3 linked regions of the Struthio camelus genome follow. The protein of the gene in region 1 purifies or fractionates together with the protein of each later gene. This does not show direct contact. Links are inferred from orthologs where the notes say so. Each region holds a gene or a part of one and is shown in the gene's direction. Other genes may lie near its edges.

Region 1 (7,727 bases):
GTCTCCAGTTATAGTTTAGAAACTTAACTCTGGCAAATAAGATGATATTTTGTCCTCCTCTGAGGAAATGATATGTAGTCATGAGCTGTTACCTAATGATTTGTTTGTTATTTATCTGTACAGTAAATTACATTGTTGAGAGAATTTGTTTTAAGATATTTTTATTTTAAATATGGTTAGAAGACTGAAGGACGGTCTACTGCAAGAAACATCTTTGGATGTTTTTCTGCCAAACTCTGCATAAAATGTTTCACCCATGAAATCATTTGGTTCACGTATGAGAACCTGTAGGAAATGGTTTGGAGCTGTTTAGCAAAAAGTACTGGGGCATTATTTTTCCTAGACAGTCCTGCTTTCGGAGAGTTAGGAGAGGACTTTTTTACCTTAACTTGTTGCACGGTGCTGAGCTAACAACTCTCCTAATATTTCTGCTCCAAGAAAGGATTCAACCATTAAATAATTATAAATAGGAGTGCAAGGAGAACTTGACTTTCTTACTGAAATGTCACATTGAGAAGTCACTTCTTTCTCCTCCTTCTCCCCCGTCAAAATACTAAAATTCATTGTCCTGCAGCAGTGTCTATTAAATGAAAATACAAAGCAGAGCTCTGAGAGTTACTGTGCGATAGCTATTGATATGGAGCCCAAAAGCAGTAAAACACTTAATGCTCTAAATAGGAAATCAAGTGAGTATTTTACTCTCGGCTCCTGGGATAAGGAGGCCAGTTCCTTATTTTGCTGATGCAACATAATTTTTTTTCACGCGTCTCCATGGGAGTGCTGAAACAGTTGCAGGCTTGTAGAGTTCAGCACTGCATTTTAATTACTCTTAAAGCTAATAAGTTCACCGTTTAAGAAAAAAGTGTACATTTGGATATTAACACTATAATTAGGAACTATAGGCTATTTAAAAGGCTGTTAGCAATGCTGTGACGTTACATATTGAAGAAGAAGGAACAGTCTGATGGGAAAACATGCATACGCGCTTAAATTCTTCTGCTAGAGCTGCTATTTTGGTTTGTCATGGTTCTTGCTGTCCTTTCATGATGCTGCCTTAAATAACTTTGCGTGCACAGCTGTGGCTGCCAGTGGATACTGAGACGGTGCCAGTGCATCTCAGCAACATCGCTTCTTGGGACAGGCATTTCCACTGGCCTCGGAAGGCCACTAAATTTGCCGCCAGTATGCCGAACATACTGAACAAAGGGGTGACCCTGCTGTTGCCTGGTGGTTACTGAGGTTTAAATCCTGCCCAAGGAGGTGTTACTTAGCTCAAAACTTTGTGGTGCGTGTGCGTGTGTGTGCGTGAGTAAAAAAAATTATTGGGATGGGGTTGGAATCTGATTATGTCACACCTTTTATGGCTGATTTCCCCATGCTGTCTGCTAACTGCCTGCTGTGGTTCCTGAAACACAGTTCTAAAGCATATATTTAAAGAAAGATTCTTGTGGTGAAACTTAACTCTGGCAGCGTGCTGTAGCATTTAAATAAGCTTCTGCTCTCGTTTGTCATTCTCTTTCACAAATGCTGTACCTTCGCATGTGGTGTTAGTTGACAAATGATAGTAGATGCTCCCTTTTATCTTAATGATTTTAAATAAAAAACAGGAATCACTGCTTAAAGTGTTATACTCTGTCATATGTGAGATGTTGCTGATAACTCACAGTGGCCTGATAGGATTAACCCAGATGATTTCCCTCCAGTGGTGTTGGCAGGTATATTTTTTAATCATCTTCTTCCTAGTATGTTAGCTTCAAATCAGGTGCTTGGCTGTTACACAGAAAGTATGGAAAAATAAACAAACATAGCTGTGAGCAGTTGTTAATGATTTATGGTATTTTATAGTCCCTGGATGAGTTTGCTCTTCTAGCGATCGTATCCGAGTCCTCCAAGCGCGCTGGGCCCGGCCAGTGCCGCCTCTTGGCTCTGATGCAGTCCAAACAGTCTCTAGGTTTGCAGATTAAACCTTTTCCATAGATGGTGATTACCACCCACAAGACTTTCCTGCAGCAACCTGAGGCCGCTAATGGTATGGCATGATACAGAAACAGGGTTCTTCAGCATAGACTATGATCTCTCTGTCAGGCTCTAGCCTGGACTTGGAAAAATGGGTTAAACACTAGAGATACCTGTATGCCCGTTGTGTCTGGTATTCAGCATTCTTTTAAGTCTGAGAGTTACTCTGTTCTTGCTTGCCTTTGCTCTCTGTCTCCTTATGTCATTCTTGACCATTGCTGATGCCCCTTGTACAGCCTGTTCCAACTCACTTCAGCTCCACTCCTCTAAGCCTGTGATCCTTTAATGGTCTAGTATCCTTGAGGATGTCAGCGGCGGATTCCTCAAATACCAGCATTCCCCTTATTCCTCTGTGCATTCAGGGCCTTTAGTCGAACTCCACTTTATCATGTTCTCTGTTACCAAACCCTTTTTACCTCCCTTACAGCAAGACCGAGGACTACTGTGTTGCAGGCAAGACTCAAGAGTGTCCCCTCTAGCAGTGCCCTGCTATGTGCTGTGCTGCTCCGCTGCAGTACTGTGCCATAAGCTTCCTCCCAGGGCACCTAAGGCATGGGCAGCAGGCTCAGGAATCCAACTACTCTGGCAAGACAACCATTGAGTGAGGTCTGCCTCTCATTAGAGGACTGAATGAGGGAGAAATTAATGGGCCTAATACTTAGTGCATGATGTTTGAGCAGTCTGGAGCAGCCTGTGGCAGGTGTTTGGGATATCAGCATTCTCCTGAGGGACTTCAGAAAGTACCTATGATTGCAACAGTTCTGCTTTAAAGGAGCACATGAGTAAAAATACAGTTGTAGAGACCAGCCTGCTCCATCCTTGCTCTTAAACTTGTTCCCAGGCTGTGATATGATTACAGACTTTGTGGAAAGGAGCTATTTCATTGCGGGGTGCGTAGAGCCATCCTTAGAACTGGACAGAGAACATTCAGACCCAAGTTCTGTTGCTCATTTTCATTTATAATGTGAATAATTGGGATGCAGCCTCATGACATACATTCTGAAGAACGTACGGGGAAGATCAGAGTCCTACACAGTGTGCGCTTGTGGTGTTAACATGGTTTAATTTTCCTGAACTGCAGCAGGTAGAAGTCAAGGAAATTCACAATATTCTTACTCATTCTCTCGGCTGTGTGAACGTCTTCAGTGGTATTTCTGTACCTGCTGGGCGTGCACATCCCAACAAGTTTCACAAGCCCTGCATGTGCTGCCACCTCATCTTCTCTCTGCCCGCTCTGCTCTTGTAGCATTTCTGCATCACTGCACAAACTGCACAACTAGAAATTTTAAGTCCTACAGCACTGGCAGGTTTAAACCAGAGTCCCATGACCCACTAAGCATAGAAACAGGATTTTTATGTCATTGAAGGGGAAAGGAAAGATTATTCCCTGCTTCTCAGAACTGCTAGTCCTGCACAGCCCTTACAGATCACATCTTAAATGTTTTATCATATAGAGAAGGATTTCGCTTTTTTTTTTTTCCTCAGCATAAATGTGACAATTCCTCCCTCCCTGGCGTGACGTGGATCCTCCGGGCAGACGAATCCAGAGTAGAACTTAAACGTTTTAGCAGGGAAGACAGTAATAGAAATAAACGGCTGGAGTAAATGGAGTTTTTTTTCCCCCTGAAGTTCTCACATCTTGTCTGGATGCTGCTCTGGATGTCTCGCTTCAGCCAAGCGAATAACTAGAGCCAAGTCACGCCGAGAGTAGCGAGGAGGTGACGGGGCCTCCTGCGCGGGAGCTGACCCGGCCCCGAGCTGCCGCAGCCAGGCGAGGCCGAGCGCGCGTTCTGCTCCGCGGAGCGTTTGGCGCCCGAGAGCTGCGTTATCCCCGGCTCGCTTCCCTCGGATCGCGTACGTGGGCGCGCGCGTGCGGGGCTGCAGGCAGGAGAGAGGCCTGGAAAGGAGCGGGGCTCGTTTGGCTGGTGCGAGAGGTCCGCTCCGTGCTGGGAGGTTGGGTCAGGCGAGGTTTGAGGGCAGCTGGTTGCTTGAAGGAACTGGGCCAGACTGGAAAGTCTTCAAAGCTGGGAGGACGGTCTCTAGCGGGACTGGCTTTAACAGCCTCCCCTAAACGCACCGTCCAAGTAGTACAGCATTTATTACGATCGCCGCTAAACTTCGGTGCAGCATGACCGCACCGGATGCGCTGCCTTTCCGAGCTCCTGGGCGCGCTCCGATCCCGCCGGCGCAGGGAGGGAGACCAGCTCCCGGGCTCCCCAGCACCCCGCTCCCTCCCGGACGGGAGGCTGGGGGAGACGCGCGTGCCTCCACCCCCAGGCTCTGGGGCCCCAAAACAGCCTCCGCGAAAAAGTGCCAGGGAAGCAGGTGAGGGGGCCGCTGGACGAAGGGATGACGCAGCTGGCTCCGGGGGAGCCCTCCCAGCAGCCACCCCGCACAGCGGCAGCCTAAAAGCGCAGCGAGTCCCCCCCAGCCCGCAGACTTGCCAGCGCGAAACTCTCCGGCAGCTGGGGCAAAAAAAACACGTGTGCGCCCAACGTGGGGCTCGAACCCACGACCCTGGGATTAAGAGTCCCATGCTCTACCGACTGAGCTAGCCGGGCGCCGCTGTGGTACGCTCCCGCCGCGCGCTCTTGGCGAGTTGACGGTCGCGCGCGTGCCGAGCGGCCTGACGTCACCAGCCTGCGGGCGGCTCCTCCCTCGGAGCCCCGCCCCGCCTGCCCTCGCCCACTCCGCGAAGGGAGATTTGAAGCCCTCTCCAGGGGAACGCTGATTGGCCGGTGCGCCGGCCAATGGGAGCGCGCGTTGTTGGGCCGTGAGCGAGCGTGAGTGAGCCGGCGGCGGGAGGGGGCCCCGTCGGCCTGGACCGAGCGCGTCGCCGCCGCCGCCGCCATGAGCTCTATCGGCACCGGGGTGAGTGCGGGCCCCGTCCTGTCCTTCTCCCTCACTCACCCGCCCCGGGCCGCTTTGTGTCAGCGGGGGGGGGGCGGGGGGCGAGCAGCCTGCCCCCCTCGGCCGCTCCCGGCGAGGGCGGCCGCCGCCGCGGCCTGTCACTGCCTGCGCGGGCCCGAGGCGCCGTCACCGCCGCTGCTGAGTCACTGCGGCCCGTTAGGCCGCGGAAACGGAAAGCGTGAGGCGGGGGGAGGAGCCGCCGGTGAGGGGGCGGGGTGAGCGCGCCCGGCCCGGCCCGGCCCGGGGGGACCCGCCCGGCGGGTGGGGGCGAAGCCGCCTCAGGGCCGGCCCGGGGCGGAGCCGGTAAGCGGAGCCGAGCCTCGTGTTGCGCAGCTGCTGGATTCCCCTCTCGGCGCCTGCGCTCGGATCCCGCGCGGGTTTCCCGGCCTGGCAGAGGTCCGGCAAAACGTACTGTGCTTTCAGAACTACAGGGTGTCTGGATCGAGCGGATTAGAAGTATGAGTGTATCTAGCGCGGATGCAGCGACTTTCTGTAGTTGTTAGCCAGCGTTTGCTTGTTGCCGTTCATGCACCTAACGTGAGAGAACAGCCTGCTTATGGTGCTTAATACACGCTGCTGTCGTGCAAATGACAGTCTTGCAATTTTAAATAAATAGACCTGTTCTGAAAAGGCTTACTCTGAAAAAGGGCATTAAAAAAACTGTGGGATGTAATGCTTTTTGGCTGAGTAGTGTGTTTTCTTCTTCAGTACGACCTGTCAGCTTCCACGTTTTCTCCAGATGGCAGAGTATTTCAAGTTGAATATGCTATGAAAGCTGTGGAGAATAGTAGGTAAGATACAAATATCTATCTGTTTCTTAGTTGGCATCTCTTTAAACAAATAAAAACGATGGCTTTGCAGATATAACTTCTTCTGATAATGTAATTTTGAGCAGCTCTGTCCCTATCCTCATGTTAAGAGGTTTGGAATAAAATCTAAAGGCATATAACCACTTCTGCTTGTTCTGCAGTGTGGTAGAAACAGAGATAATGTTGCTGAGAATACAAAGGCAAGCAGTATACTTACTCGTGCGTGTTAAGGGCAATAAAAGAGGATCGCAGGACTCATTAGTATGTGTAAGGTGCTTAGCTATTATGGCAATACAGGTGTAGAAGTACCTAAAAGTCCATTTTATGGCTGTGAATTGAGGCACTGGAAAACTGTGACTTGCTCAAGGCCTCATAAATTTATAGTAACATCATTTGGCTATTCCCAGTTTCTTGAGGAATGTATGTCACTCTAAAGCAATAATGTCTGCTTCCTACGAATATGTGTCTTCCTTCAGGCAAAGGAAAGCTGTAAAGCAAAAATCCCAGCTGTGCTTGCTAGTAGCAAAAGTGAGATGGATTAGCAGGGCATGGACAAGATCAACACGGGTGTCTGGTCACAGCGCATGCTACCTACTAAGGATTAGTGAGAGTATTTTGTGTGGGGTACAGCTTGTGTCATGTTTGGTGATTTATGCTTGATCATGCCTTCTTGGAGGTTAGAGACTGTCACATTGCTTAGATCCTAAATTTACCAAAGAGGAGAGATTAAACAGTCCCTTGTTTTCATATTAGTATTGTACGGCATGTGCTTCTCCAAGACAGTGCTACAACTGCATGTCGTCTTGTCCAGAATTACTTGGACAGGGACTTGGCAGTCCCCTCCACCTTCACGTAAGAACGTTTTTGCAGGTTTAGTGAGCTTCCCGCTCCCACCTCCACCCCTGTCTTCAATGTTAAAATGGAGTCATACTTAGATCATACCATAGATCTGCTTCTGTGGAAAATAAATCATTATTTTTAGCATTTTGTTAACTCTCTGTTATTTACCTTGACGTCTAAATCCATTGCACTTCTGTGTAAGTGAAACTTGCATTGATCTTGTTTTTCAGTACAGCAATTGGGATAAGGTGTAAAGATGGAGTTGTGTTTGGAGTAGAAAAACTAGTTCTGTCCAAGCTTTATGAAGAAGGTTCCAATAAACGTCTCTTTAATGTTGATCGACATGTTGGAATGGTGAGGTGCTATTTAACTTTAATTTTTCACAAAGGAATCCCCCCGAAGTAGATGCATGTGGATCAGAGAATCAGTAATGAATAGATGAAGTAATATAACTTTTTCTACACACATAGTCAGAAATGCCAATGGATTTTTAGATTGTTTTGTGTAACTTACTCTTGGTTGTGTGTGAACGTACGTTTATTAGAAGTAAAATATGAATTTAAAATAGAAGATAGGTGCATATTTTGAGGCTATTCTAAATTTATTTGAAGAAGTTGTGCTAATATTCCTATTCAAATTTGAATAGGGTGTTAAAGTTGTCTTTTGTTAACTCGGTAAACAAATAAGGCATGTTAAGAAGCAAAACCTACTTATGCCATGTCACTTATGTACAAGAGTCTCTTTTCCATCTTAATGATCTAGGAGTCAACTGACTTCTGTAAGGGCTACCATGTAGATTTTATAGATTACTGGCTAATCTATAATAGTAATGTCTGCATAAATAGTGGTTTCTGTGTGACAGAAATGCCTGAAAGTATACCTACTTACGACATCGCTAGTATTGGGAAGGGAGTCGGGTTTGCTTGTAATCCAGAAAAAAATCATACAAAACAGAAAAGGAATGCTACATTGCTATGGTTATCTTTTTTCATATTGCTGATGTTAACATAGTCTAGTGGTAAATCATAAGACACTATTTAACATGAAGATGACTTCACTTTATGTGTTAGTACAGTATAGAGTTTTTCTTTAGGAAAATCAGTACCATGTTCATACACTTTAATTGTTAACAGGTGGAAAGCTTGATTGGAT
Region 2 (7,769 bases), on another chromosome or scaffold:
CTGTTTCTCAAGAAAGTAGTAACAGAAGCAGTTCAGTTCCCTGGAGCAGGAGGGGAGAGGAGCAGCTGTAATTACTGCTCTTTAGTGTTTACACCAGCCAAGGAGCTGGTTCCGCCTTTAAATCCTTGCAGCAATTCAGTTTCCCTGAGGCAGGGGAGCATACCCTTCCAGAGCAGGCAGTAATTACAGACTCAGGTCTCCATCCTGAAAGGGAGCAGCTCCTTGCAATTAAAATGCCCTTGTTAGGGTAAAGATTTGCAGGCAGTACTTACAGATGCTTATTCTTGGAGAAAGTAAGTTACTACCACCTTGCCTGAAAGTTGGTGAGCAGCATGGCAGCAGCTTCTTCAGGGTCTTTGGAGTCTTTCACCACCTGCTTTGGATGACAGACCGACTGAGACACACTGGGATAAGAGTAAGTCTGAGGACGCTTCTGTTTCAAAGAAGAAAGCAAATTATGCTACTGTATTTTGTAGTGGGGTTCTCTGAGGTATGGGGGTCACGGACCAGGACATATCCTGTTGGATTGGGTGTTATTTTCCAAATTGCAAAATACACAGAAGCCTGTCACTCACCAAATTCCACTCTTAACTTAGGTCAGAAAGGACAGATGGGTCACTAAACAAAACGTCCACGTGGGAAAAGAAGTTGCTTGAAAGATGAGATAGTAGAAACCACAGTTCAGGCTGAGTGACAAGTTTCCTAAATACTGATGACAGTGCTGGTGTTAGCTGACCTACGGCAGCAAGCCATCCAACAAGGGAACGTGTGAACAATGTGCAACTTGACATAAGCCCCTGTTAACGTCTGAAATTTCTCATGAATGGAAAGACTGTATTTTTTTCACAACTTCAACACTTAACTTGGATTCATCAAATCTCAAGATTTAATGCCAAAAACAGCAGGTGGCAACCATATTTAGTTTGCTCTCAATTCATATTCCTCCTACTTAGTAAGAGAGGAAAAAGCTATTGATGCAAGCAGCACAGACGGATTCCTTGTTGTGAAAGCTAGTTCTTTATCATCTGACTCGGGAACCAAATGTGCTTTTACTCACTGCTACAGCCAAAACACATTGCAAACTTGAAGAACAAATTTATTTTTAACTCACTTGGTAAAACATATCTGTAAAACGCATTGTTTTTCTCCTTTTAAACAGTAGAATGTTAGCATACTAGGGGAAAGAAATGGTTCATTTTTTTTAAATTGACAAATGTTATTAGTAAATTAATCAATATACAGAAAATAGTTGGAAAGTACAAGTACTATATATATGCTTTTATGTATGTAATTACAAACGGACTCAGAATCATCTCTTTCCTCATTGCAGATTCTGAAAACAAGAATCATATTTCTCAGAATGAGAGGGTCAGATTATTTAGCATGATGACTTTAATGTGATGATCTTGTTGACTTCGCACAATCTTTCCTGAAAGGTAGGTGTTTAATTCCAGTGGAAGGCACTTGCGTGTCTGAGGTAAAACAGTCACAGATGTGGAGGTCTGCTGGTTCAGATGAAATGAGCTCCCTGAGGTTGGGAATGTTTATTCAAATTGAAAAACACCTAGAAAAGTGTGAAAAATTAAACTCAGGCCCAAAGGGCAGAAACTGTGGTTTACATATTCAGATATTCCCTGAATATCTACAGTTCTAGTTTTTTGTGATAATGTAGAGATGAAGCAACAGAATGCAGCTTTGAAGTTCCTTACATATCTGCCGATTTCAATTTCAAAAAATTGGACTATAACTGATTTTTTTTTTTCCTTCCAAGTCTAAATAAACTCTGTCATTCTTCAAATGTAATGAACATTTTTCCACACTGGAAATTGCTGTTTGGACAATCCACTATCACAACTGAGTAGGAAAAAAGATTTGCCTGTAAATGTTAGAAAAGAAGTAATTTCAGATTTCTTAGGTTCAAGACACATTTAGAATATTCCATAGACATTTTCACTTACCCTTAACCATGGATTTTTTTTTTTAATTTCAGCTTCTGAGCCACTTAATCAATTGACTCTTATCTAAATTTATGATAAAACCATTTATTTCATGGTGTTCAGATACACCTTTTGTTTATTCCTCTTTTTACCAGCAAAATAATAAACAAGACGTAGTTGTCCACATAGAAATTTGACCATCAAGTTTCATTTTTTTTAACTCCTGAACACAAATTCATGTATAGATTGTTCTGCATAGCGTAAATATGAGGCAAAAGAATCTAATTTTAAAGCCACTATGAAAGATGTCAACAAATACCCTCCAAATCACAATTAAAATTATAGTAAAAATAGACATAGGTGACACAAAATCTTTTAGGAATTGAAAGATATTTGAGAAGTATTAAACACACAACAAAATTGTCATATTTTCCCTATTAAAGGTATAGGTCTAGGAAAATGAGAAAAGGTAGAATTAACTTTGTTTCTTCAGTATCTGTTCAGAAAGGCTGGACCCCTTCTAATACGTTAGTCAAGCGAAATTAGCAAAGTATCTGTTTATCCTAGTCTCAGCCCATAATGCAGAATAATGACTTTCACTAAAGCTTTGAAAAAAGGAGTAATTCGGTGTGCTAAAAGTGGTTATAAACTTTTGCTTTCCCAAAACGTTACGGGAAAAATTCATGATAGGAAAGCTATGGAGTAGCATAGAACCACCTTTAGGCCCCTGGTAAAACCATATTTATATAATGCTGATTTACTAGTACTTTTCTCCAAAAGAACATTATAGCACTGATTATTACTTGACCCCTGTAAAGCAAAGTAGTGTCACTCTTCAGACACATGAATATAACACGAGATCATCTCCTGCTGCACAGTTTTAGTATTGCTCTGCACTGATAACAAAAATAATATCTGAGACAGAAGTCGTATAAGGATATGGAGTAAATATTTTCTTCACGAAAATGCCATGGGAATATTTGAGCATCACAGCCTTTGCTTATCTTACTTTGGTTTTCTGTGGCTTTCCTTCTCATTATAAAATGCTTCAGCATTTAGTTAGCCATTTAAAAAAAAAAAAATTAAGCAGAGCTAATCTGAGTATAAAGATCAGAAAACAGGATTTGCCCTTGTCAGCAGCTTTAAATCTAATCAGCTTGCAGCTGTTGTATAGTCATGATGTAGTTCTTGAGGGGAAATTCAATTAACAATTATATTTAGGAGACAGCTGGAGATAACAACCATCAGTACTGTTATCATATATCCATCACAGGCTTTATCCTACACCCATAGAAGTCAACGGCAGGACCAGGCACCGCTGAGCTCCGCTTTACTGACTGGCCTTATTATTTCAAATAAATATCTTTAACAGACAGTTACAGAATCTGCTACTAAACTCTGTAACTGATTATCGCCAGTGAAGAAGTCCATCCTCATTCCACGTTTATACACCCTCTTTTAGCACATAATGAACAAGAAGGCAGGGCAGCAGAAACACAACTTTCTGCTATTATGCAAGTCTAAGCATCAAATCTCTATGATCACCTGCACTGTGCTCTGATGGCTTCGGACCTCTAGAAGTCTCCCTGCTTCTCGATCAGACTGCAGGTATTGACACTCTCAGCAGTTTATATGCAGATTCTTAAAGGCTGTCAAATACCAGTCTCCAAGGTACTCAGACATCTAACTGTGAAAATCTCAGCCCCTGTGAGGAAAAGGTTTATGTAGTTTATACAGTTTGTATCAGTAATGGAGCATGCATTTAGCTCACAACTGCTAATGTAATGGATCTGGATACCCAATTTTAACCAAAAATAAATACGTTTGGGAACAACTAGCATCCAACTGTCCTAAACTGCAGAAGTTAGAAGAGAACTGAAAGATGAATGTTTTTATTATGATCTCTATGTTGGGATCAGAGCAGCTTTACAAAAGGGCTCTTTAATAAACCACAAAGCCACAAAAAGTGAATTCTAAACTTGGGTAGGAGTTATGGCCTTTCCACAAAGTCATTTTATTTCGGTGCCTAGGGCAGTATCTTGACTACAGCCACCCCTTTTGCCCCAGTTCTCTTGAGTCTGCCACAGGTTATTTGGATATCCCATTTGTCCCTAGTTGACAGAATTAGGAGATACAGCTACCGCTCGGCACAACTGTCAGAGGCAGAGGGAAAGTGCTGACTGTGGATAGTAAGGAAAAGCATACCCCAAACAGGCTAACTTACCGAATTGCTGTGCCACTGTTACTGACACAGGAAAAGAGCAGCGAACAAGCCCAGGTAGGCTCCCAGAATAAAACGTGACAGCACCTCTTGAAAACTGATGCTGCTTAAAGCAACTAAAGGGCAGTACAAATGAAACGGTACAAAGCACGAGCTTTGTTCTCGTTAATTCTAGGTTTGTCCCCAGGCAACGCCTGTGGTGTCGCCGAAACCGAAACGTAACAACAGGTCGCCAGATGATCCAGCGAACGACCCTCCCCCGCCGCCGCCGCCGCCGCCCGGTTCCCCTCAACTCCGGCGCAGGCGGCTTCAGCGCAGCCGGTAACGCGGGACGCGGTCTCCTGGCGGGCACGGCCGTTAACGGCCGCCCTGCGCGCGCGCTCCGCCCACCCGGGCCCGCTGCAGGGCAGGTGTCCGGCCAGCAGCGGCGCTTCCCCGCCGTGCTCGGGGACCCCCCCCGCCCCAACTCCGGCGCCGGAAGTGACCTCGGCGGCGCGGGGCGGCGGCCGTTCCTTCGGCTGTGTCGTCACCGCGCACCGCTGGGCGACTCGCCGGGGGGGGCCGAGCCGGGGCCGGGCCGGGCCGGGCCGGGGCAGGGCGCAGCGCAGCGCAGCGCAGCGCCGGCCATGGCGGCGGCGGCGGCTCCGCAGAAGGAGATCGTGTACAACAAGCTGCTGCCGTACGGGGACTGCCTGGAGGCCGAGGCGACGCGCTTCCTCGCTCAGATCAAAGGCAACCTGGCCCGGGCCGTGCAGCTGCAGGAGCTGTGGCCCGGCGGGCTCTTCTGGACCCGGAAGCTCTCCACGTGAGTGCGGGGCTCAGCGGCCCCCGCCGGCCGTGAGGGGCGGCGCCGGCCGGTCCGCTGCCGCCAGGGGTCGGCAGCGGCGGGGGTGGGAGCGCGGCGAGCCGGGCGGCTGGGCCGGCCCCTGGCGGGGAGCTGCGCGGCCAAGGCCGGCGGCCGTTGTCTCGGGCCGCTGATAACGGCGCTGCCCGCGGGGGCCCGGTCGGGGGTGGCGCAGGTTCAGGCCGCGGGTTGAAGCGCCGCGGAGCGGGGCCCGAGGGCGCTGCCGGGCGCCGTGAGGCGAAGCCGGGGTGACTCACGGCTGCCCGGCGGGCCAGGCGCACGCCTGAGGGCCGGGCGGGCCGGCGCTCGGCAGAAGCGCGTTGGTTTCCTAACGGTTACTCGCCAGCGAGAGCGGGGCGGTTGCCCTCGGCCGCTGCCGGGGCGCCGAGGGCCGCGGGGGGGGGGCTGCGGTACGTGCGCTGAGCGGTGCGCGGCCTCCGGGCCGGAGCGAGGCGGGCTCAGCCGGCCTCTTGCACAAGGCCACGCAGTGCTCCGAAACGGGAAACCGGGACAAAGGTGGTTTCGTTTCCCAGAGCTCCTCTGTCGTCTTAGAAGCTTTCCGAGTTGTATGAATCGAGCTGTTTTCTTTTTAAATGCGCGCTTGACCACCTGTTTCTTTTCTTGCCGTTTCAAGCAAGTTACGGAAGATACTATCTCTGTTCACAACTTTTGCGGTAGGAACATGAAGTCTTTCTGAAAACAGGCTGCTTGTGCTTTTGTTAGTTCGGCGCTGGAAGGATTAAATTCTGGTTTTGCTGCTGGGTTAACAAAATTAGTGCCCTAGTTTAAAATAATAATTAAAAAAAATGCCTCTATGTCTTGCCTGTACTGTGGCAAGGTGCAGTTTATGTTGGCTCTAATGTGAGTGCTGACAAGATGATTTTTATATAGATTGAAAACACAGTGTTTTCATACCAAGCAGAGTGTGGAATTCTCTTAGTAAATTTTACAAGACTTACTTACCCTTTTTTTTTTTCTTCACATGTGCTATTCTGGCCAGTCTGGCACTTAAAAAATGGTGTCAAATGACTGCTGTAGTTTCAATCGGCACACCTTATTCCTCTGAATATTCTCTTCTTGATGAACGTTCTGTGTCCCTTCATACTTGGTGTTTTCTATGAGCTAGAAATGGCAGAATGCGTGCATTTGGTAGAATTTATATTCATTTGCAGTTTTACTTCTTCTATAAGGTAGGGTTCTTTTTTTTTTTTTAAGTATTGGGAATTTAATAAATATCTGGCTGTCAAAAATCTGGTTGGTACACATGTATTGAAATGTAAGTGACCTTATGTTTGCCAAGAGGCATTCTTAGATAGAATTACATTGATAGTTGCGAAATGACTCACATGTTTACATTCAGAGACGATCTGAACCTGCTTGGACCCAGTTCAGTACTCTTCCCCCCCCCCCCCCCCCTTCCGTAGCCATCTGCTAGCTCATGCCGTTTACAGTGATGCCTGTTGTCTTTGGACTTGTGGCAGAACTTCATATGCTAATCAAGCTGAAATAAACTGTAGCAGTGCTTAGTAAGAGAAAGATGTACCTTAGATAGGGTAGTAACTCCTGCGGTTACCTGCTTTGAAGATGTGCGGGTATAGGTTAGAATTAACCTGCTAGTCATTCTGTAAACTGTAATTACTGTTATCAGTTTAGGCTTCAGGGCAGTGAATTTAACCTGTTGAGAACAGCTGCTATGCTAACTTTATGAATCACAAAAAGGGCAGAGGCTCTAATTTCTGGTTTTCCACCTACTCTTTGAAGTTTAAATTTACTGTGTGTGTTTTATAACTTGTCTGATGCCTGTTTTTCCCAAGACTTCTTTGTGGCATATTACATGCAGTAAGACTGAATACGTTTGGATGTAGGCAGGGAAGAAAACTGTGGGGTTGGTTTAAAATAAGCTAGTATAGTTAACATTAGAGATATTTTGCTTGCTCAGTTTAATTTGGCAAAACGGTTTGGTGGGATAAAATATTTCAGTAAAAGTTTAGCTCTAGATGAAATACTTCCAAAACGTACAAATATGGTGTTCTGATTTGTCATGCCTAAGTCAAATTATAACATAATGACAGTAAAACCAGAGCTTTATTATCTGTTCGTAGTAAGTAGTTCATCTCATTGTCAACTTTATACCTTTTTTCATGCTAGCCAGCTATAATAAATTGTGCATTTGTTTAACCTGAAAATGATCAGAATTGTCATAAGATCTCTGCCTAGTTTATTACATGTCTATATTTTAAAAGTCAGTATTCTTATAATATTCTGTGAAGTAATTTATAAATTGGAATTATGGCTGGTGTGTCTTGAATCTTTCTTGTTCAGATAAAAATGCTAATATAGACAGACAATGTAACATATGCAAACATATGAATTAAAAAAAAAAAAAAAAGCATGCATGGGTTATATACCTGTATAGCTCTACCTCTTCAGGTACACTGCAACTTTATACAGCTGTGCATAGACTCTGGAGGTATGAGGAATGAAAGTGAAAACTCAAAATGGGAATTTTTTATACGAGTTACTGTTTCATGATGACAGCTGAACCAAAAATCTTGTTATTTCTTGTAGTGCAACAGCTGAGAACATGACTTACATGTAGTTTTCTTAAATGCAGCTGCTTCAGCTGTCTGATGTCGTGAATTGAGTAGGGAAAGACGTCTAAAACTGGGATTTGTTAGATATAATGTCTGTCAGTTAATTTGCATAATTGTTCTTGTATGCATAATTTTCAGTGATGTAAATGGAGTCTTTCATTGGAGTGCTTATA
Region 3 (7,117 bases), on another chromosome or scaffold:
GGACCCAGGCATCCGGGGAAGGGGCCCAGGTGTCCGGGGAAAGGGCCCAGGTGTCCGGGGAAGGGGCCCAGGTGTCTGGGGAGGGGCCCAGGAGTCCGGGAAGGGGGCCCAGGCGTCTGGGGAGGGGCCCAGGCATCCGGGGAAGGGGCCCAGGTGTCCGGGGAAAGGGCCCAGGTGTCCGGGGAAGGGGCCCAGGTGTCTGGGGAGGGGCCCAGGTGTCCGGGGAGGGGCCCAGGCGTCCGGGGAAGGGGCCCGGGTGTCTGGGGAGGGGCCCAGGAGTCCGGGAAGGGGGCCCAGGCGTCCGGGGGAAGGGGCCCAGGCATCCGGGGAAGGGGCCCAGGTGTCCGGGGAAAGGGCCCAGGTGTCCGGGGAGGGGCCCAGGTGTCTGGGGAGGGGCCCAGGTGTCCGGGGAGGGGCCCAGGTGTCCGGGACAGGGGACCCAGGTGTCCGGGGAGGGGCCCAGGCATCCGGGAGAGGGGCCCAGCCGTCCGGGGGAGGGGCACAGGCATCTGGGGGAAGGGGCCCAGGTGTCCAGGGAGGGGCCCAGGCATCCGGGGAGGGGCCCAGGCGTCCGGGGAGTGGGCCCAGGCATCCGGGGAAGGGGCCCAGGTGTCCGGGGAAGGGGCCCAGGCATCCGGTGAAGGGACCCAGGTGTCCGGGGGAGGGACCCAGGTGTCCGGGGAGGGGGCCCAGGTGTCCGGGGGAGGGGCCCAGGCATCCGGGGAAGGGGCCCAGGTGTCCGGGGAGGGGCCCAGGCATCCGGGGAAGGGGCCCAAGCGTCCGGGGAAGGGACCCAGGCATCCGGGGAAGGGGCCCAGGCATCCGGGGGAGGGGCCCAGGCGTCCGGGGGAGGGGCCCAGGCGTCCGGGCGAGGGACCCAGGCGTCCGGGGAGGGGCCCAGGTGTCCGGGGAGGGACCCAGGCATCCGGGGAGGGGCCCAGGTGTCCGGGGAGGGACCCAGGCGTCCGGGGAAGGGACCCAGGCGTCCGGGAAAGGGAAGCATGCATCCAGGGGAGGGGGGCCCAGGCATCCGGCCCCCCCCCCCCCCACCATCTCCCCACTCCGACCCGCCATCTTCCCCCCCCCCCCCCCCGTCTCCCGCAGGCGCCTGGTGGCCTCGGCCGGCGGCTGGACGGCCCTGCTGGCCGGGGGGCTGCTGGTGGCCGCTTGGCCCCTGGCCCGGCCGGGGGGCGGCCGCCGAGGCGCCCTGCTGCGAGCCGGCGGCCGCTTGGCCGTGGCGGCCGGCCTGGCCCGCGCCGCCCCCCGCCTCTTCGCCGCCCTCGAAGCCGCCACCGGCCGCTGCCTGCCGGCCGCCCGCCGCCGCGGCCTCCCGCCGCCCCCGGCCCAGGCCGACCCCGGCGCCTGCCGGGCCGGCGGCCACCGCTGGGAGGGTCTCGCCGTCTCGCCCCAGGCCTTCGCCCTGGTGCACTGCGGCCTGGGCCTGGCCGAGGAGGCCGCCGCCTTGGGCCGCCTCTTGCACCCGCCGCCGGGGCCCAGGCGTCCGGCTGCCCGGGCCCCCGCCCCCTTTTGGGCTCCTCGTTTGCTGCTCCCTGTCCGCGAGCTTCCCCGAGGGCCCAGGCGTCCGGGCTTCGGCTCCTCGTCTCCGCTCCGCTGGGCCCAGGAGTTCGAGGGGCCCGGGCGTCCGGGTGCGATCTCGTCGTCCTGGCCCTGGGGGGCCCAGGAGTCCGAGGGGCCCGGGCGTCCGGGTGCGATCTCGTCGTCCTGGCCCTGGGGGGCCCAGGAGTCCGAGGGGCCCGGGCAGCTGTGGGGGGCCCAGGAGTCCGAGGGGCCCAGGCGTCCGGGCGTTCGGGGAACAGAGGCGGAGGAGGAGGAGGAAGGGCCCAGGCGTCCGGGCACGGCCCTCTGCCTCCTCTTCCTGCTCAACGTGGCGCTGCTGCTGCTGTGGCACGGGCTGCTGGCGGCCACGCTGGCCTACCGGCACGACTGGGCCTGCAACGCCGCCGGCGCCGGCCTGGGCTGGGCCGCCTGGGCCCTCACCTACCGCCTCTGGTACCGCTGCCCCTGCTCGCCCGGCCGCCCCGGCCTGGGCCTGCAGCCCCGCTGAGGGGCCCCGGCGTCCGGGAGGGGCCCCGGCGTCCGGGAAGGGCCCAGGCGTCCGGGCGACCCTACGCGCAACAAGGCGCGCCCGGGCATCTGGGTAGGACCTAGGCGTCCGGGAGGGGCCCAGGCGTCCGGGCGACCCAGGCAATGGGGTTACCCGTACATCTGGGAAGGGCCCAGGCGTCCGGGAGGGGCCCAGGCGTCCAGGCGACCCAGGCAATGGGGTTACCCGTACATCTGGGAAGGGCCCAGGCGTCCGGGAGGGGCCCAGGCGTCCGGGTGACCCAGGCAATGGGGTTACCCGTACATCTGGGAAGGGCCCAGGCGTCCGGGAGGGGCCCAGGCATCTGGGAAGGGCCCAGGCGTCCGGGAGGGGCCCAGGCGTCCGGGCGACCCAGGCAATGGGGTTACCCGTACATCTGGGAAGGGCCCAGGCGTCCGGGAGGGGCCCAGGCGTCCGGGCGACCCAGGCAATGGGGTTACCCGTACATCTGGGAAGGGCCCAGGCGTCCGGGAGGGGCCCAGGCGTCCGGGTGACCCAGGCAATGGGGTTACCCGTACATCTGGGAAGGGCCCAGGCGTCCGGGAGGGGCCCAGGCGTCCGGGTGACCCAGGCAATGGGGTTACCCGTACATCTGGGTAGGACCTAGGCGTCCGGGAGGGGCCCAGGCGTCCGGGCGACCCAGGCAATGGGGTTACCCGTACATCTGGGAAGGGCCCAGGCGTCCGGGAGGGGCCCAGGCGTCCGGGCGACCCAGGCAATGGGGTTACCCGTACATCTGGGAAGGGCCCAGGCATCCGGGAGGGGCCCAGGCGTCCGGGTGACCCAGGCAATGGGGTTACCCGTACATCTGGGAAGGGCCCAGGCGTCCAGGAGGGGCCCAGGCGTCCGGGCGACCCAGGCAATGGGGTTACCCGTACATCTAGGAAGGGCCCAGGCGTCCGGGAGGGGCCCAGGCGTCCGGGTGACCCAGGCAATGGGGTTACCCGTACATCTGGGTAGGACCTAGGCGTCCGGGAGGGGCCCAGGCGTCCGGGCGACCCAGGCAATGGGGTTACCCGTACATCTGGGAAGGGCCCAGGCGTCCGGGAGGGGCCCAGGCGTCCGGGTGACCCAGGCAATGGGGTTACCCGTACATCTAGGAAGGGCCCAGGCGTCCGGGAAGGGCCCAGGCGTCCGGGCGACCCAGGCAATGGGGTTACCTGTACATCTGGGAAGGGCCCAGGCGTCCGGGAGGGGCCCAGGCGTCCGGGAAGGGCCCAGGCGTCCGGGCGACCCTACGCGCAACAAGGCGCGCCCGGGCATCTGGGTAGGACCTAGGCGTCCGGGAGGGGCCCAGGCGTCCGGGCGACCCAGGCAATGGGGTTACCCGTACATCTGGGAAGGGCCCAGGCGTCCCGGAGGGGCCCAGGCGTCCGGGCGACCCAGGCAGTGGGGTTACCCGTACATCTGGGAAGGGCCCAGGCGTCCGGGAGGGGCCCAGGCGTCCGGGTGACCCAGGCAATGGGGTTACCCGTACATCTGGGAAGGGCCCAGGCGTCCGGGAGGGGCCCAGGCGTCCGGGTGACCCAGGCAATGGGGTTACCCGTACATCTGGGAAGGGCCCAGGCGTCCGGGAGGGGCCCCGGTGTCCGGGAGGGGTGGGAGGGTGTCCTGGGAAGCCCCGAAAGCCCAGGGCAGCCACGTTTCCCGGAGGGGCCCAGGCGTCCGGGAGGGCGTCCCAGGACTCCCCCAAAACCCCGGCCATGCCCCGGCAAGGGCCCAGGCGTCCGGGCGAGCCGATCTCAGCGATGGCCCCCCCTGCCCCCCCGCCAGGCCCCTTGGCGGGGACGGGGGGGCCCAGGCGTCCGGGTGAGGTGGGGGCCCAGGCGTCCGGCTTGGGGTGGGGGGATGGGACTGCCCCCCCCCCCGCTACCTGGACCGGGAACCCCGGGAATAAAACGTGTTGTTTTGGGGTGGTTTCGGGTAATTTTTTTCCCCTTTTTTTTTTTTCCGGGGGGGCCCAGGCGTCCGGGGGGGGCGGGGCGCACTGGCCCCGCCCCCCCCCCCCACGCGGGGAACCCCCGAGCTTTCGCTTTCGCTCTCGCTGCTGCCCCCATGGCTGCACCGCAGGTCCGGGGGGGGGCCCAGGCGTCCGGGCCGGGGGGGGGCCCAGGCGTCCGGGGCATGTCCGGGCAGCTCGGCTTGGGGAGGGAAGGAGGGGGCCCAGGCGTCCGGGAGCGGGGCCGGGGTTGGGGGGGGGGAGGGGAGCGGAGAGGGAGCAGGTGTCCGAACGGGGAGGGGCCCAGGCGTCCGGGGAAGGGGAGGGGAAGAGAGAGGCTGCAGAGGGGCGGGGCAGGGGCCCAGGCGTCCGGGCTTGAGGGGGTCGTAGGGGCCCAGGTGTCCGGGGTGTGGGGTGGTGGGGCCCAGGCGTCCGGGTGGCGAGTTGCAGTGGGGCCCAGGCGTCCGGGTGGCGGGACCCAGGCATCTGGGTGGTGGGGCGGATGTGGGGCCCAGGCGTCCGGGGTGCGGGTTGTGGTGGGGCCCAGGCGTCCGGGGTGCAGGGTGGGTGTGGGGCCCAAGTGTCTGGGTGGCGGGTTGCAGTGGGGCCCAGGCGTCCGGGCAGTGGGTTGCAGTGGGGCCCAGGCGTCCGGGCAGCGGGACCCAGGCATCTGGGCGGTGGGGCGGATGTGGGGCCCAGGCGTCCGGGGTGTAGTGGATGTGGGGCCCAGGCATCTGGGCAGCGGGGTGGATGTGGGGCCCGGGTGTCCAGGCAGTGGGGTGTGTGCAGGGCCCAGGCGTCCGGGTGGCAGGTTGCAGTGGGGCCCAGGCGTCCGGGCGGTGCAGGGTCCGGGCGGAGGGGCGGGTTGTGGCAGGGCCCAGGCGTCCGGGTGGCGGGGTGTGTGCAGGGCCCAGACGTCTGGGGTGCAGGGTGGGCGTGGGGCCCAGGCGTCCGGGTGGTGGGGCCCAGGTGTCCGGGGTGGTGCATGGCGAGTGCAGGGACCAGGTGTCTGGGTAGTGGGGCCCAGGCGTCCGGGGGGTGGGTTGCGGCAGGGCCCAGGCGTCCGGGTGGCGGGTTGTGGTTGGGCCCAGGCGTCCGGGGTGCAGGGCGAGTTGTTGTGGGGCTCAGGTGTCCGGGGTGACAGGGCCCAGGTGTCCGGGTTGCAGGGTGGGTAGTGGCGGGGCCCAGGCATCTAGGGTGCAGGATGGGTAGCAGTGGGGCCCAGGTGTCCGGGGAAGGAGCCCAGGTGTCCGGGGAGGGGCCCAGGTGTCCGGGGAGGGGCCCAGGCGTCCGGGAAGGGGCCCAGGAGTCCAGGGGAAGGAGCCCAGGTGTCCGGGGAAGGGACCCAGGCGTCCGGGGAGGGGGCCCAGGTGTCCGGGGAAGGGGCCCAGGTGTCTGGGAGGGGGCCCAGGTGTCTGGGGAGGGGCCCAGGCGTCCGGGGAAGGAGCCCAGGTGTCCGGGGAGGGGCCCAGGTGTCCGGGGAGGGGGCCCAGGTGTCCGGGGAGGGGGTCCAGGTGTCCGGGGAAGGGGCCCAGGTGTCCAGGGAAGGGACTCAGGTGTCTGGGGAAGGGGCCCAGGCGTCCGGGAAGGGGCCCAGGTGTCCGGGGAGGGGCCCAGGTGTCCGGGGAAGGGGCCCAGGCGTCCGGGGAGGGGCCCAGGCGTCCGGGGAAGGGGCCCAGGCGTCCGGGGAGGGGGCCCAGATGTCTGGGGAGGGGCCCAGGCGTCCAGGGAAGGGACCCAGGTGTCCAGGGAAGGGGCCCAGGTGTCCGGGTGCGGGGCCCAGGCGTCCGGGGAAGGGGCCCAGGTGTCCGGGGAGGGGGCCCAGGTGTCCGGGGATGGGCCCAGGCGTCCGGGGAGGGGACCCAGGTGTCCGGAGAAGGGGCCCAGGTGTCCGGGGAAGGAGCCCAGGTGTCCGGGGAAGGGGCCCAGGCGTCCGGGGATGGGCCCAGGTGTCTGGGGAGGGACCCAGGTGTCCGGGGAGGGGCCCAGGCGTCTGGGGAAGGGGCCCAGGTGTCCGGGGAAGGGGCCCAGGCGTCCGGGGAGGGGGCCCAGGTGTCCGGGGAGGGACCCAGGTGTCCGGGGAGGGGCCCAGGCGCGCGGGCGCGGGGCCCAGGCGTCCGGGGAAGGGGCCCAGGTGTCCAGGGAAGGGGCCCAGGTGTCTGGGGAGGGACCCAGGTGTCCGGGGAGGGGCCCAGGCGCGCGGGCGCGGGGCCCAGGCGTCCGGGCGCGGGCCCAGGCGTCCGGGCAGAGCCGCGGTGCCGGCAGGAGGAGGCCCTGCGCGCCCGGCTGGCGGCCCAGGTGCAGGCGCTGTTGGGCGCCGGGTTCCCGGCCAAGGTGGCCGAGCTGCAGGCGCTGCTGGAGGTGCCGGGGGGCGGGGCCTGTGGGGCGGGGGCGGGGCCTGTGGGGCGGGGGGTGGGATCTATGGGGCCGGGGGCGGGATCTATGGAGCTGGGGGGGGGTCTGTGGGGCTGGGGGCGGGGCCTGTGGGGCCGGGGGTGGGATCTATGGGGCAGGGGGCGGGATCTATGGGGCAGGGGGCGGGGTCTGTGGGGCCGGGGGTGGGATCTATGGGGCCGGGGGCGGGATCTATGGGGCAGGGGGCGGGGTCTGTGGGGCTGGGGGGGGTCTGTGGGGCTGGGGGGGGTCTGTGGGGCGGGGGACGGGGTCTTTGGGGCTGGGGCTGGGATCTATGGGGGCCCCATGGGGCAGCAGAGGGTCTTTGGGGTCGCTATGGGGCAGAGGAGGGGCCCTATGGGGCTCAGGAAGGTCTACGGGGTCTCTATGGGGCTTCTATGGGGCAGCAGAGGGTCTTTAGGGTCCCTATGGGGCAGGGGAGGGGCTCTATGGGGCACAGGAAGGTCTATGGGGTCTCTATGGGGCAGGGGAGGGTCAATGGGGTCTCCATGGGGCAGAAGAGGGTCTCCAGGAGGTTTCTATGGGGCAGAAGAAGGTCCATGAGGTCCCTATGGGGCAGGGGAGGCTCTATGGGGTCCCTATGGGGCAGGGGAGGGTCTCTATGGGGCAGAGGAGGGTTTCTATGGGGTCTCCGTGGGGCAGAAGAAGGTCTCCAGCGG

The links.
Region 2: the proteins of PSMA3 (region 1) and PSME4 purify together in Homo sapiens (affinity purification with western blotting; 3 studies listed by BioGRID and IntAct, with this or other methods). This does not show direct contact. The link is inferred for Struthio camelus from reciprocal best matches to the Homo sapiens genes PSMA3 and PSME4.
Region 3: the proteins of PSMA3 (region 1) and PSME1 purify together in Homo sapiens (affinity purification with western blotting; 4 studies listed by BioGRID, with this or other methods). This does not show direct contact. The link is inferred for Struthio camelus from reciprocal best matches to the Homo sapiens genes PSMA3 and PSME1.

The regions. Positions count from the first base shown.
Region 1 is NC_090946.1:78,226,944-78,234,670, reverse strand, and holds the start of PSMA3 (proteasome subunit alpha type-3), read left to right. Parts: upstream 1-4,684; 5' UTR 4,685-4,866; coding exon 4,867-4,887; intron 4,888-5,634; coding exon 5,635-5,717; intron 5,718-6,805; coding exon 6,806-6,929; intron 6,930-7,727. UniProt on the Homo sapiens protein: Component of the 20S core proteasome complex involved in the proteolytic degradation of most intracellular proteins. This complex plays numerous essential roles within the cell by associating with different regulatory particles.
Region 2 is NC_090944.1:119,473,543-119,481,311, forward strand, and holds the start of PSME4 (proteasome activator complex subunit 4), read left to right. Parts: upstream 1-4,727; 5' UTR 4,728-4,784; coding exon 4,785-4,963; intron 4,964-7,769. UniProt on the Homo sapiens protein: Associated component of the proteasome that specifically recognizes acetylated histones and promotes ATP- and ubiquitin-independent degradation of core histones during spermatogenesis and DNA damage response.
Region 3 is NC_090970.1:244,299-251,415, reverse strand, and holds the start of PSME1 (proteasome activator complex subunit 1), read left to right. Parts: upstream 1-4,094; 5' UTR 4,095-4,159; coding exon 4,160-4,174; intron 4,175-4,350; exon of another isoform or gene 4,351-4,709; intron 4,710-4,773; exon of another isoform or gene 4,774-5,309; intron 5,310-6,259; exon of another isoform or gene 6,260-6,289; intron 6,290-6,308; coding exon 6,309-6,404; intron 6,405-7,117. UniProt on the Homo sapiens protein: Implicated in immunoproteasome assembly and required for efficient antigen processing. The PA28 activator complex enhances the generation of class I binding peptides by altering the cleavage pattern of the proteasome.